2 linked regions of the Oryctolagus cuniculus genome follow. The protein of the gene in region 2 interacts with the protein of the main gene of each other region in a biochemical or structural test. Links are inferred from orthologs where the notes say so. Each region holds a gene or a part of one and is shown on either strand. Other genes may lie near its edges.

Region 1 (7,234 bases), on a different chromosome or scaffold from region 2:
AGCAGAGTCTGACCCGTGCAGGTTGGGGGAAGGGAACGGGGGAGGGGAGGGGCGGGGGAGAGGGAGGGCAGAAGGGGCAGTACCTCAGTGATGCCGAAGGGGATGTTGCCCACGTAGAGGCGCCGGGCCTGCCTCGTCATCTGGCTCCCAACCACGGGCACCGGCGTCGGAGTCACGGCCAGACCATCCGGGGTCATGGTGGGGAGGAGGGCAGTGGCTGGAATCTGACCCGCAGCTTGGAGGAGACGGCACAAGACGAGGCGTCAGGAAAGCCTGGCGCGGAGCTCGGGCACCACCCACCACACACTCAGCTGGAGACCCCCACCCCCACGGGCACTTCGGGTGCCCTCCTGCAGCCCCCCAGGCGCGGCCAGCGGGCCTACCTTGCATGGCCTTGTACTGCATTGGGGTGATGTGCTCGAAGCCAGGGGGAGGCACGTCCCAGTATTTACGCACCTTCTTCTTCTTCTCATGGCGGGGGGAGCGACTGGGGGCGGGGAGAGCGGGCGGCCAACCTCAGTCTGACCCACAGCCGCAGGGCCCCTCCCAGGCTCCGCAGAGGCCACCCCCCACGAACTCCACTCTCCCCAGGAGAGGGGATCTGGACCCAGGCCTAGGGAGGGGTGCTGGTTTGAAGGCAGAGCGGGGGCCAGGGCTGGACACGGGCACGGAGGAGGGGGGAGGTGTGGACACGGGTGGGAGGAGGGAAGGTGTGGACGTGGGTGGGAGGAGGGGAAGGTGTGGACATGGGTGGGGAGAGGCACACAGCAGTGAGGGAGGGGAAGGTGTGGACACAGGCAAGAGAAGAAGATGTGGACACGGGCAGGGAGGAGGGAAGGTGTGGACATGGGAGGGGGGAGGGGAAGGTGTAGACGTGGCACAGAGAGGCACACAGCAGTGAGGGAGGGGAAGGTGTGGACGTGGGCAGGGGGAGAGGAAGGTGTAGACACAGCAGGGAGAGCCACACAGCAGTGAGGGAAGGGAAGGTGTGGACGTGGGCAGCGAGAGGGGAAGGTGTGGACACGGGCAGGGAGAGGCACAGAGCAGTGAGGGAGAGGAAGGTGTGGACACGGCAGGGGAGAGCCACACAGCAGTGAGGAGGAAGGTGTAGACGCGGGCAGGAGGAGGGGAAGGTGTGGACGTGGGCAGGGGGAAGGGAAGGTGTACACGAGGGCAGTGGAGAGGCACACAGCAGTGAGCGAGGGGAAGGTGTGGATGCGGGCAGGGGGAGGGCAAGGTGTGGACAGCAGTGAGGGAGGGGAAGGTGTGGATGCGGGCAGGGGGAGGGCAAGGTGTGGACAGCAGTGAGGGAGGGGAAGGTGTGGACACGGCAGGGAGAGGCACACAGCAGTGAGGGAGGGAAAGGTGTAGACGCGGGGGCACAGGGGCAGGAGAGACGCTCACATCAATCCACCGTGGTCCTCTTTAGCGCCTCTGGTCAAAGGTTTGCTGGGGGGTGGGAGGGAAAGGTAGGGGAGGGGTGACTGGGGACCCTCGACTGCCCCACAGGCCACTCCCCCCCAGCTCACTGAGTCCCAAGGCTGGGGCAGGGCCGAGGAGAACAAGCGGCAAGCAGCCCCCTCGGCCCTGCCATCTCCCCCCGCCAACTCCCAGACCAGGATTAGGAGAGGAGGAGGCGGGCCAGGGCAGACCAGTGTCCCTGCAGGCACTGGGCGGGGGGGGGGGGGGGGGGGCGCGGGAAAGCAGAATCCCTGGAGGGAGCCCGGGAGCCGAGGCTGCAGACAGTGCCCCACTGCGAGGAGGGGAGAGAGACTGGAGCCAGAGCAGCCCCGGAAGACAGCCTCCCAGAGCAGCACAGAACAGCTCAAGGCAACCAGCCCGCGGCGGGAGCCAGCCCTGCGCCGGGCATCGGCCACGCCATCAGCCGTGCCACCTCCAAGCCCGCAACCCGCTAGCACGCCTGGGAAGGCCACGCGGGGGAGACGGCTCAAGTGCCTGGGCCCTGCCACCCACGGGGAGGCCAGGATGGAGTTTCGGGGTCCTAGCCTTGGCCTGGACCAGCCCCAAGCGTGGCAGCCAAGGACAAGAGCCCCCGGCCCGCCCTTCATCAAGTCGTCTCTGTAAGGAGAGCCCTCGGGGTCGGGGCAGACAGAACCCGCAGCCCCCAGCACCGCCAGCGGGGAAGTGAAAGAAACGCCAGACTCGGCGGAGAGCTGGTCCCCACCCGACAGACACGAGGCCACGCAGGCTGTGGGGCCACCCAGACGCCCCCCACACCCAGGCTGGCCCGGGCACCTTCGCCGCCGCCTGTCCCGCGAGGCGCTCCGCTGGTCTCGGTTGCGCCGGTCCCGGCTCCGGCTCCGGCGCTTGCGGTCCCGGCTTCGCGAGCGGCTATGACTGCGCTTCCGGTGCCGGTTCTCCTTGTCCCTCTCTGCGCAAGGCGAGAGGCAGGGGCTGGGCTGAGTGGAGGGAGGACGCGGGCCCAGCCCACCCTGCACGCTGGTGGCTACGCCCAAGACCCAGGGAGGCCACCCCCAAGGGCAGGGACTGCAGGAGGAAGGGAGAGAAGAGGCCTCCTGGGTCCACAGCAGAGGGGACCGCGGACAGGGCCTGCTAGTGCCCCGGGGGTGAAGATACCTGCGGATGCTCAAGGGCTGAGGAGCCAGAGAAGACAGAGGAGGCTGGCTCCTGGTCCCCCTCGAGGGCTGAGGGGCCTGACCCCAGGGTCGTCCCTGAGAGGGGCAGGGCTAGACGCTGGGGAATCAAGAGACCCAATGATGCTTTCCTGAAGGGACCCAGCGACCCCTCAGGAAAGACGCGGGCACCGGCTGGCACCCACAGCCCCCCACGTCCGGCCCAGGAGCACGGAGCCAGGCGTGATGTGATGTGCCCGGATGCAGGACGCTCGAGTCATCCCTCTCCTGCAGGCAGGCCACGCGGGACCAATATGCCTCCATCCCCTCGGGGCGAGGACCAGGGACTCCAGGTCCCGCCAGGACCTCCGCAGGACACCGCGCGCCCCGGCACGGGCCCGACCGGGCCACCACACGCAGCGCAGGACAGGTCCACGCCCCCGTGGCCTCCGTGTCACACACTGTCCAACGTGGCTGCGCGTGCTCTGCCCCCAACCACGCACGCTCAAGCACGCACAACCGGGAGCACCGCCTGCATCCCCAGCCAGAACCTGCACCCAGGCTCGGCCACAGGACGGGCGGCCGGGACGCGCGCCAGCAGCCTGCACCCGCCACTGCTGGACACGGGGCCGGCGGAGCAGACAGTCCGCCTCCAACCTGCACGACGACACTCCCTCCGCGGAAGGCAAAGACAGAGAAACCCCGCTGGGGTGCGGAAGACAGAGACGAGGGCGCCGGCCCGCAGCCAGCACGCGAGCACCGCGCGGGCGCCGGGCGCCGGCCCCAGCAGCTCTGCTGCCCACGGGGACCGGCCCAGGAGGCGTCCCGCCGCCGAGGCTCAGCAGCGCGCAGGAAAGGGACGCCCGCGGGGCGCCCGGACGCAAACAAGGAAATCCCCTAGGCACAGGTCGCCAAGAGACGCAGGGAGACTGGCGCGCTGGGACAAAGACCCACGCACGGCACGGGGCACACGTGGGCCCCGGAGGAGGCGCCGCACACCTGCCGGACTCCGCGCCAGCTCCTCCCCGCTGACCGCAGGACGCCACGCGAACGCGACCGGAACTTGGCTCGAGCAGGCGCCGTCCCGCCCCGCGCGCCAGGTGCGCCGAGGGCCTAGCCGACGGCGGGAGGGCAGCCGGCCCGGCTCGCCCGACTCCGTGTCCGCCCTCCGAGCCCCTCCCGCAGCGGGGGGACCCGGGCCGTGCTCGCGAGGAAACGCGGGCGGACCGAACAAAGCGCCGGCCCCCAGCGAGGGGCGCAGCTTCCCTGCAGCGGGGCTCGCTCGCCCCATGAGGAATCTCTACAGCCAGAAACATTAGCAAAGAACACCGCACCCTCGGTACTCAGGCGGCAGGCAGGCCGCGGGAGGGGCGGGCTCCGTCCACCCCCGCCCCAGCTCGGGCCTGGGCCCCTGGACCTCCGCTGCTCCCGGCGCCCTCACTCTCGCCGAACGCGAGAAGCGGGCACGCAGCCCCGGGCGGCGGGGCGCTGCCGGGCACTGCCTGCCTCGGCCCGCAGCCGCGCCGTCCCACCTCCGCGCGGACACGCAGGAGGCCCAGCTAGGGGCCCCGGTCCACGCGAGGGGGAGGGGGCCGTCCCCGAGACCGCCATTTTGAAACAAAGGGGGCGTGGAGACGCAGCCCCGGCACAACCGGAAGCGGAAGAGTTGCAGCAGCGGGCGAAAAAGAAGGGGATTACAGGATCTAACATACTAATCGTCTTTGCCAAGAAAGGGAGAGAGCGAGCAGAGCTAGGGTCGACGACTCCGGCGCCAGCGCGCCGCGTCCCCCTTCGCCACCTCCGCGGGGACCACGTGGGCGCGGGCGGGCGCCGTGCGCATGCGCCACGGGCCCGCGCCCGCCGCCCCTGCCCCTCGCCGCGCCGCGGGCGGTCACGTGAGCGAGGCGCGCCGCGGGAGGGGGGGTGGATCGCGCGGCGCCGAGGAATGGGAAACGAGGGGGAAAATGGCGGGGGCCGAGGAGCCAAGCGAGGAGCCACCCCTCCCGCGCCGCCCCGCCACCCCGGCGCCCTCACCTTGTTTATTCTCGTTGAGCTGCCGCTCGAACTCGTCGAAGTCCGACATGCTGAGGCGGCCGCGTCGGGCCCTGTGCAGCGCTCGCCTCGCCTCGCCGCCCGCCCGCTCCGGCCGCTTCGGCTACTTCCGCCGCTAGCTTCGGCTACTTCCGGCCGCCGCCGGCGCTGTACCGCCTCCTACCTAATCAAGCCCCGGCAGCCCGCCCCGCCCAGGCTCCGCCCCTCGCCCCGCCCGACCCCCGCGAGCCCCGCCCCCGAGCCTGGCTCCGAAGCGCGTCGGCTCTTTCCGGACGGTCGGCCTCGGCGGTTTCCGAAAACGCCCGAAGCGAGGACCTGGCCGGCGTCTCGGGTTTCCGTAACTTTCCGGAAGTCAGCGCCTCGCCGTCCGGCTGTGTTCGCGGGTCCTCGCGTCCCTCGGCGCAGAGCCCTCTCCGCGGGTTCGGCTCCTCCCGACAATTCCAACCGCCCCAGTCTCTCCCTCTGCAGATCCGCCGCGCTGCTCCGCCGGACCCGCCTAAGCAATCGGCCACTGCCGACGACCTTTCCGAGGGTTTCGGCGCTCGCCAGAGGCTTCGGCTCTTTCCGGAGAGTCCGCTCGCGCACTCCTCCCCTACCGGAGAGCTTCGGCTCCTTCCGCCGCGGCTTCGGGAAGCCCCTCCCTCACGGAAGCGGCTTCGGCTCTCTCCGGCGGCGCTTCGGCTCCTTCCGGCGGCGGGAACCGAAAAGGGAGGGAGGACGGAGGCGAGGTGGGTCCGGGGCCCGGGTCCAGAGAAGGGGGCGGGGTCCGGGCTCTCGGCACCTGGCTCTCCCGATGGGAGAGAGGAAGGAAGGAAGGGCCGACTCTCCGGAGCGCCTGAGGCGGCTGCGCGAGGCAGCAGCAGCCTTCGGGCTGGAGGGCGCGCGCGGCCGCTGCGGAGGTTGCCAGCGCGGCTCTGCGCGCCTGCGCAGGGGCTGAGGCGGGCTATTGCGGCTGCGCGGAGGTCGGTCTGAGGCGGGGTGGCGGTGTCGGGTTCCAGGGCCCCCACTGCGCGTGCGCGAGGCTTTCCCTGCCTAAAAGGAGTCCGAGTTCCCGACCGTTAAGCACGACCGCCCGCTCCCGGTTGTCTTGGCAACTGCGTCCGCGCTCTCGCACCCCTGCCGCCGCGCGCACGCGTGGAAGGCGGTGGAAGCACCACTTCCGGGACGCGGCCAACGTCGCGCTGCTGCCCCCTGGCGGCAGACGGCCGCCGTGCCACGCCGCGCCGCGCCCGGGGACCGCCCATGCCGGGGGTCGTCGGGCCCCGCGCCGCTAACGCACGGCGCCGCCCCCGGGGGGCTCGCCCCACCCTGTGCTCCCCAACCCCTCGCTTCCCCTCCGAGGAAAACGCTGGGGCCCAGTCTGTGCCAAAGCGTCACGTCTCTGTTTTATTTTTAATTTTTTAACTTAAATTCCGGGCGCCGTCTGCCCGAGCGTCACGTCTCTCGTCTTTCTTTATTGGATCTGAGCGAGCACGGGTCACCGCTTGAAGCGGTAGGTGATGGGCAGCAGCAGCTTGCTCTTCTTGAGCGCCTGCACCTTCTTGAGCGTCTCGTCGTCCAGGGCCAGGAAGCAGCGGCGCGAGTACTCGAGCAGGCGCTCCTTGGAGGGGTCGAACTCGCCCACCTCGGCCAGCTTCTCGGGGGCCACGATGAGCAGCTCGGCGATGGGCGTGGTCAGCGCCACGGTGTTGCGGTCCACGCGGTGGTGCTCGAAGGCCCGCGACATGCTCTTGAGCTTCTGGAAGGTGCCCAGGATCTTCTTGTAGCGGCACAGCACGCCGTCGGCGTCCTTCACTGCGGGGGGACAGCGGGCGGCGGTCAGGGCCGGGGCCGCGGCGCGCGGGGCCAGGGCGCGCGCCCCGGGGCCTCGGCCCCCGCTCACCCCGCTGCCGCTCCCGGGCCTTGGGCTTCCCGAAGCGCCTCCGGCCGGCGCCCGCCCGCGGCCTCTGCCTCTTCCTCTCGCCGGCGCTGCCTTCCTCGGACGCGGCGCTGAGCGACGAGGCGGCCGACTCCAGGTCCGAGGCCTCGCCCCCCGCGCCGCCGCGGCTGTCCCCCTCCGCCCGCCGGGGCCCCGGCTTGGCCCGGCAGTGGTCCTCTGGGGGTGGGATGGGGGGCGGGGGAGAGCAAAGCCCGCAGGTGAACGGCGGGCCCAGGCCGGACGCCTGGCGGCCGCGCTGACCCGCAGAGCCCCTGGAGGGCAGTGGGAGCCCGGGAGACAGGGGCTCTGGGCCTGGTAGGCCGGGGACAGCCAAGGCCTCCAGCTGCACCGGGGGCGCTCCCCGGGGACACGGGTGCTGGAAAGGCCCTGTACTGGGCTCCCCAGGGGCCCGACCGTCGCGGGAATCATCCGCGGGGGAGACAGCCAGATCCTGACAGCGTGGGCACGGGCACCACGGGCCCGTGCGTGGCGCCGGGTTTGGGGAGGAGGGGGCTCGCAGAGAGAGGGGCAGCAGGGGCCCCGCTGGGGCTGGGCGGCGGTCAGCACGCGTGGGTCCGCCAGTAAACCGGCCGGGCTGCTGCTGGTCCTGGACCAGCACGGGAGGGGGCAGGGGCACGGGGTCGCGGCCCGCGCGCCCACCTGCGTCCAC
Region 2 (6,795 bases):
TAATAAAGGGTGAGAATATGTAGTGAAAACAGTTTGTGAAATTTAGTGATGCTAAATATATTAGTTAACTCGAAGTTTGTTCTTCTATAGCAACTGTTATCTAAATGCCCTTGGAAGGAGTACAAATCTGATTCTGGAAAGCCTTATTATTACAATTCTCAAACAAAAGAATCCCGCTGGGCCAAGCCTAAAGAGCTTGAGGATCTTGAAGGTAAAAATAGGAGAAAATAATGTGTAGTATAATTTTTTTACTTTGATATATCAATCACTTTGAAATAATCCTTCCTGAATAGGATTGTTCAAAGGCCTTTTTTTTTTTTTAAATTAACTGATTAGAACATTTAAAATGGTGTAATAGTTTTATGGGCTCTTATTTTCTTGTTGCTCTAGATCTCAGTTCTATAGATTTTAAATAGATTTTTATTTGATTTGATTCCACTGAAACTAGGATACCAGAATACCATTGTTGCTGGAGGTCTTATTACAAAATCAAACCTGCATGGTGAGCCGCTTTGATAATTATTTTCTGTCATATTTAACATTTTTAGAGTATGTCACTAATATTCACTAACTGAATTGATAAATCTGCAGTGAAAAATCTCTAATACAAGAATTCCTTTCACTTAAGGATTATATTATAAATGAGCTTGTAACTTTTAAAAGTATACTTTGATTTTCTTTAAAATTTATTTGTCATTAAAAAATTAAACAAAAACTTAGAAAATTTCTAAATTCTACTTGAGTGTTGGTAGATACTTGGAACATATGATTTAACCCATTTAATGGTAGTAATTAGAGAACCTTGAATCTATCTCTTTAGTCGTTAGCATGTAGTCAGACATTTAATATTGATTTTTAAAAAAATTTTTTTTATTTGACAGGTAGAGTTATAGACAGTGAGAGAGAGACAGAGAGAAGTCTTCCTTCCGTTGGTTTACCCTCCAAATTGCCACCACGGTTGGCGCTGTACCAGTCCGAAGCCAGGAGCCAGGTGCTTCTTCCTGGTCTCCCATGCAGATGCAGGGACCCAAGCACTTGGGCCATCCTCCACTGCCCTCCCGGGCCACAGCAGAGAGCTGGACTTGGAAGAGGAGCAACCAGGACTAGAACCTAGTGCCCATATGGGATGCTGGCGCCGCAGATGAGGATTAGAAAGTGAGCCACAGCGCCCACCCCCCTAATATTGATTTTTGCTTTAGCATAACATTTTTTATGATAGCTTTGATACATTATGATTGAGTGAAATTAGGTAAACAAAGTAACATGCTGCAGTTGTAAGAATTGTTTTACACTCTGAACTACTCAAAATATTATAGAACCCAAGATTTAAAATAGCAGTGATTCTGAATAAGAATTAAGAATTGAAATTTTTTGGTCTCTTTTTAACTGAATATAGTGTCAAAAAATATACCAAATTAGAAACAACAGCTTATAGGAAAACAGGACTAATAAAGTAGGCATCGATATAGAATAGTATCTGCCACGAAAGGATAAAATTTCATAAAAGGCATTGTCGACTTTAAGTCATTTACCTTTTCTCTGTGCACATTGTATCAGGAAAATGTAAATTTATATTTGTATATTTTATATTTGTAATAACTCTTGAATATGTTTTCTCAACCATTGTTAACAGATTTTCAGATTTCCTTGTTAAAATATTTTCATACAAGCAGGCTTATATTATTACTTAAATGGTACCTCATCCCTAGGATGCTAAATAAAAGCTACTTTTTATCCCCAAAGGAAAAGTTACATAATTGAAAATGAAACTGAAATTTTCATTTATATTTCATTTTATAACTAAAGTTACTAGCATTGGCTAATAAGAATAAAGATAGGTAACCTGCATCCTAGTTTATTCATTTACAGAATATCAAGCTCATTTCTGATATAACCCTAATAAAAATAGTATGCATACCTATTAATGTACTTGTTAATGCTAGAATATGTATGTACTGGAATTTTATAATTGCAGTTTGTCCCATATTAAATTTAGTATCATAAGAAAATTCGAAGTAGTCTCATCAGTGGGAAAAATATTATTCCAGAATTTAGATTTTTCAGGGAGATTTTGCAGTAGCCAACAGCCATTGGGAAAATAACAGCATGAGATAACTTTTTCTGATAACTGTTCTTATTTAAAATTGGTTTTATTCTTTAATTGCTGCTCTACAACTATGGAGCAAGTGTTTGTAAAATTTATTTAAGAATTTTTTTTGGATGTTAAATCCTATTGTAAGATAGTTTTCTTTATTTTTTTCAAAGTTTGTTTTCAGTTACAATATTTAAAACCTAGTAGATGACTTTTCATTTTTCTCTTTGATAGCAATGATCAAAGCTGAAGAGAGCAGGTAAGCTATTTTGAATATCAACATTTATTTATAAATTTGGTCTCCTGTAACATCTTGTTTTAGCTGTCAGTTTTCTTTTAGATCTTGTTTTCTTGTTAGATCTGATGATTTGATGTCTTTAGAGGATTTTATGGGGGAGAAGCAGGGAGAATAATATTTGCTCAGGTTGATACTGATATGAATTAAGAAGACTGTTAAAATGAAGTCCAAAATTTTCTTTCAGTTCATTTGGGAATGGATGAAATATTATATCGATATATTTCTTTGATTATATATGGTTTCCTTTTAATTCATGAAACAGAAATTTTAGAACTTCTTACAGACATAATATATGTCAAATTTAATGATAACAATCTAATTGAGCATTTTGTAAATGAGAATAATTATTGGACTTTCTAGTTTGGAATCACTGAATGTTGGTCCCTTTTCATTTGTTATTATAATTTAAAACCTAGATTTAGATTTATGATTACAGTGATGAAATAACTAGTTTTCTCTCTTTTTTTAATGTATAGTAAGCAAGAAGAGTGCACCACAACATCAGCAGCCCCGGTTCCTACAACAGAAATTCCGACTACAATGAGCACCATGGCTGCTGCAGAAGCAGCAGCTGCTGTTGTTGCAGCAGCAGCCGCAGCAGCAGCAGCTGCTGCTGCAGCCAATGCCAGTGCTTCCACTTCTACTTCTAATACTGTGGGTGGAACTGTTCCAGTTGTTCCTGAGCCTGAAGTTACTTCCATTGTTGCTACTGTTGTAGATAATGAAAATACTGTAACTATTTCAACTGAGGAACAAGCACAACTTACTAGTACCTCTGCTATTCAGGATCAGAGTGTTGAAGTATCCAGTAATACTGGAGAAGAAACATCTAAACAGGAAACTGTAGCTGAGTAAGTTTAGTAACTTGTCTTCTGAAAATCAGTGTAGACGTAATTCAAGAAATTGCTGCTTAATCAGTGACCATTGAGTCTAAATATTTTTGAAAATAAAAATTTTAAGACTTTAGACACTGGATAAATTTTGAGGCTAAGTTATTCTTCTTGCTCTGTTTTGGTTTTTTGGAGGTAGATTAGACACCAAACTGTTGGAAAACTTGTGCACTGAAGTTTTAAGAAGTAGAGCAAAGGATCGGGTGAGGCACAGATGTAAAGGAGTGCCAAAAACCATACTAAAGAAGATATATCCTATTTGAAAGCAAAATATCCATGATTAACAAAATGTCAGTTTTGAAAAAGGATCAGTGTTACTGATTTTTTTTTCTCCTGTGTGGTTCAGCATAGCACTACAAATGCCATAGTTTGTTATTAAAAAGATTTCTTAGGAAAGTTGAAGGAGCTCTGCAAGCTAGAGTACTAAAATGGTTTTGTTTCATTTTTTCTTTGCTTATTTGTAGTGTTTGGTTTTCAGTTTTCTACAAATGAAATAAAACTGCTTTTTTAAAAGCATATTTTGGAAAAGGTAATAGAAGGTGTTTTACAGAGAAAGGAAATCAGTTCTCCAAGAAGTTTATAAGACACTCAGCCGTTATAATGAAACACAAAATAATACTACTATTTTTGTACCATATTAGTAAAAACCAAGCACAAAAGATAGATTTAGCAGAGTATGAGAGTATTTTCATACTGCTTTTGGAGTGAATTGGGATGGCTTTTTAATAAAGCACAGCTCCATCTGTCAAAGTCTACAGTTTGCTTGTACCTGCATACGCTATAGTAATATTTCACATGGCTAGCTATGAAAAGTGAACTCAAGCTGCCCTTGACTTAAGGATGTCCACAGGTATAAAAAACAGCCTTAATCTTCATGGTCCTAACATAGTCATCCATCTTAAGATACTGCCTTTACCCTCCAGTTCTTATTGTAAGTCTTCTTTTTGTGTTCTCCTATGTTATATTTTCCAAAGTGAAAATAGCTTTATAATTTGTTCTATGAAGAGATCCATATGGTATATTTGAAGACATCAAGGTAAAATTAACATAATCTCCATACACTCCATCATGTATTATGTACTATGCATAAATTTAAGTGTCCCCTTACTGATTGACATTTCCACTATTGATAGAATGTTTTGTAATAATCTTTTGCATTAAATCCCTTGTATAAATCAGTGTAGTAGTTGCATATAGTCTGTGCACATCCTTCCATATACTTGGAATCATTTCTAGATTACTTATTATACCCAACAGAGTGTAAATGCCATGTAAATAGTTGTTGTATTGTACTTTTTAGGGAATAATGAGAAAAATGTGTTGTTTAGTGCTGATGCAATTTCCTTTTTCTTTCAAATATTTTTTGATCCATAGTTGGTTGAAACCACAGAAGCAGAGGGCCAACCATAATATGTTCTTCATAATTTTAAGAATTAATACTTGTTTCCTGCTGTTTTTTTCTTTACTGCATTTCCTGATTATAGTGCCTGTCTGTGAGATTTTGATTTTAATTATGTTTATTTAGACCATTTGTAGCTGTTAGTTTTTTGCTGATCTCTTTATAGTACTTTTTGACAGTTCTAAATAGATTTCCCTAAGTAAGCTTACCTGATGTAAAGTGAATATATTTACATTTTTGTCAGAATCTACTTAATTGTCTCCTCCCTTAAATATTTTACTTGAAGTATTTCATGATTTTTTTCTTTTTCCTGCATTCCTCTGTGTTTATATCAGGGTAAATGTATTCTTTGAATGACCCCCAACCAAAACCAGTTAAAAATTCTTGATTGTATTATTTTTATTTTGGATTTGTGTTTGGCAAACTTTTTGATAAAATACCAAATGTAAGTATTTGGGGTTTTGTGTTTGTTAACAATGCCAACTCTGCTGTGGTCCCACAGATTGGCCATAATCAGTATATAAACAAATGAGCAAGGCTGTGTATATTTCTAGTCAGAGTGGGCTAGTTTTGGCTAGTGTAGTATGCTGCATATGCTGACCTTGGTTTAGATTAACCTCTATATCTTTTTTATATTTTTGCAGTTATGCGAAATACTCAGTCATTAACACACTAATATGAAACCATTGAATTAACCATTTAAAATGGTTAGGTTGTAGACTAGTGGAGCTGGTGTTTAATGCAGTTAATGTTATATTTTGGCATTTCTACAAGGTTTTAATAACTATACTTTCAGGAAAACTCTGTATTGCCTTTATTCCTGTGTTTTTAGCATCTGTATATGAGGCTTAATTCCCAAATTGTCAAAATTTAACATCAAATATTATTTAAATAACAACTAAAGGCATTTATATTTCTGACTGAAGCAAGTATTTGTTTAAATTATCAATGACATGTTTACATTTCTCTAGTTTTACTCCCAAAAAAGAAGAGGAGGAAAGCCAGCCAGCAAAAAAAACATATACTTGGAATACAAAGGAGGAGGCAAAGCAAGCATTTAAAGAATTATTGAAGGAAAAGGTATTTGTGTTACAGATTTTTATATGCTGTGTATAAATTACCTAATAAAATGAGTTATTTTTAATGCAAACCTTGATACCTTTATTTAAAATACTGATTTCATGTACTGTTTTTACTGAAAATCAACTAAAATTGTCTTATTTTTTTGAAGATCACTATTTTGAAACTTTGAACAAAAAAACTTGAACAAAACTACACCAGGACATTTCTTCTTCAATATTTAATACAAGGTTTTTTATTTATAGTTATAATTGTTTACCTTTTAATCAAAATTGTAAAGAAAAAATACTCATTCCCTGTTTAAATTTGAGTTCAAGTTCTTTTCAGTTGATAGGTAGATTTCAGAGGTTTCCCATCAATAAAACATTATTTAGAACTTTTCAAAATCCTACAAAGGAAAATTCTTGAGGTTTACAGTGAGTATTGTAGTTGGTTCCCTGTTACATGACTTACTGTGCTAGTGTGAAATTTTAATTCTTCATTTAAATGGTTTTCAGCGGGTACCATCCAATGCTTCATGGGAACAAGCTATGAAAATGATCATTAATGATCCACGATACAGGTAATACTTCATTATTTTATAAACTTTTCACTTTGGCATAGCAAGCCTAGCACATTTAAAATTGTGGAGAATGGTGCAGTTTTTAATTCAGATTAATGTTCATTGTTTTAAGATATAAAGAATAAAGTTCTTTTGTGGATTAAAAAGAAAAAAATCTAAAAGGCTTGTCATTAGATTTGAGCATCCTGTTTTCTATGAAATTACTTATTTTGAATTAGAAATTATTTTCTAGTACCATTTCTTTGATAAATTTTTACAATCTTAATTTATGCATGAGAAAAGTTGTTGGTTTTCCCCCCCAAGTATTAACATTGTATTTTCTTGCCTTCATTTCATGTGTTTTTTTTATATTTAGTGCTTTAGCAAAATTGAGTGAAAAAAAGCAGGCTTTTAATGCCTATAAAGTCCAGACAGAAAAAGAGGAAAAAGAAGAAGCAAGATCGAAATACAAAGAGGCTAAGGAATCCTTTCAGC

Evidence for each region.
Region 1: the proteins of PRPF40A (region 2) and U2AF2 form a complex in vitro, tested with the Homo sapiens proteins (2 studies listed by BioGRID). The link is inferred for Oryctolagus cuniculus from reciprocal best matches to the Homo sapiens genes PRPF40A and U2AF2.

Annotation. Positions count from the first base shown.
Region 1 is NC_091449.1:3,335,094-3,342,327, forward strand, and holds the start of U2AF2 (splicing factor U2AF 65 kDa subunit), read right to left. Parts: upstream 4,769-7,234; 5' UTR 4,678-4,768; coding exon 4,629-4,677; intron 2,393-4,628; coding exon 2,257-2,392; intron 1,450-2,256; coding exon 1,405-1,449; intron 488-1,404; coding exon 384-487; intron 236-383; coding exon 84-235; intron 1-83. Other genes in the region: CCDC106 (coiled-coil domain-containing protein 106), read right to left, coding at 6,124-6,440, 6,529-6,741, 7,225-7,234. UniProt on the Homo sapiens protein: Plays a role in pre-mRNA splicing and 3'-end processing. By recruiting PRPF19 and the PRP19C/Prp19 complex/NTC/Nineteen complex to the RNA polymerase II C-terminal domain (CTD), and thereby pre-mRNA, may couple transcription to splicing.
Region 2 is NC_091434.1:89,202,248-89,209,042, forward strand, and holds part of PRPF40A (pre-mRNA-processing factor 40 homolog A), read left to right. Parts: intron 1-90; coding exon 91-211; intron 212-448; coding exon 449-502; intron 503-2,326; coding exon 2,327-2,351; intron 2,352-2,866; coding exon 2,867-3,241; intron 3,242-5,650; coding exon 5,651-5,759; intron 5,760-6,256; coding exon 6,257-6,321; intron 6,322-6,676; coding exon 6,677-6,795.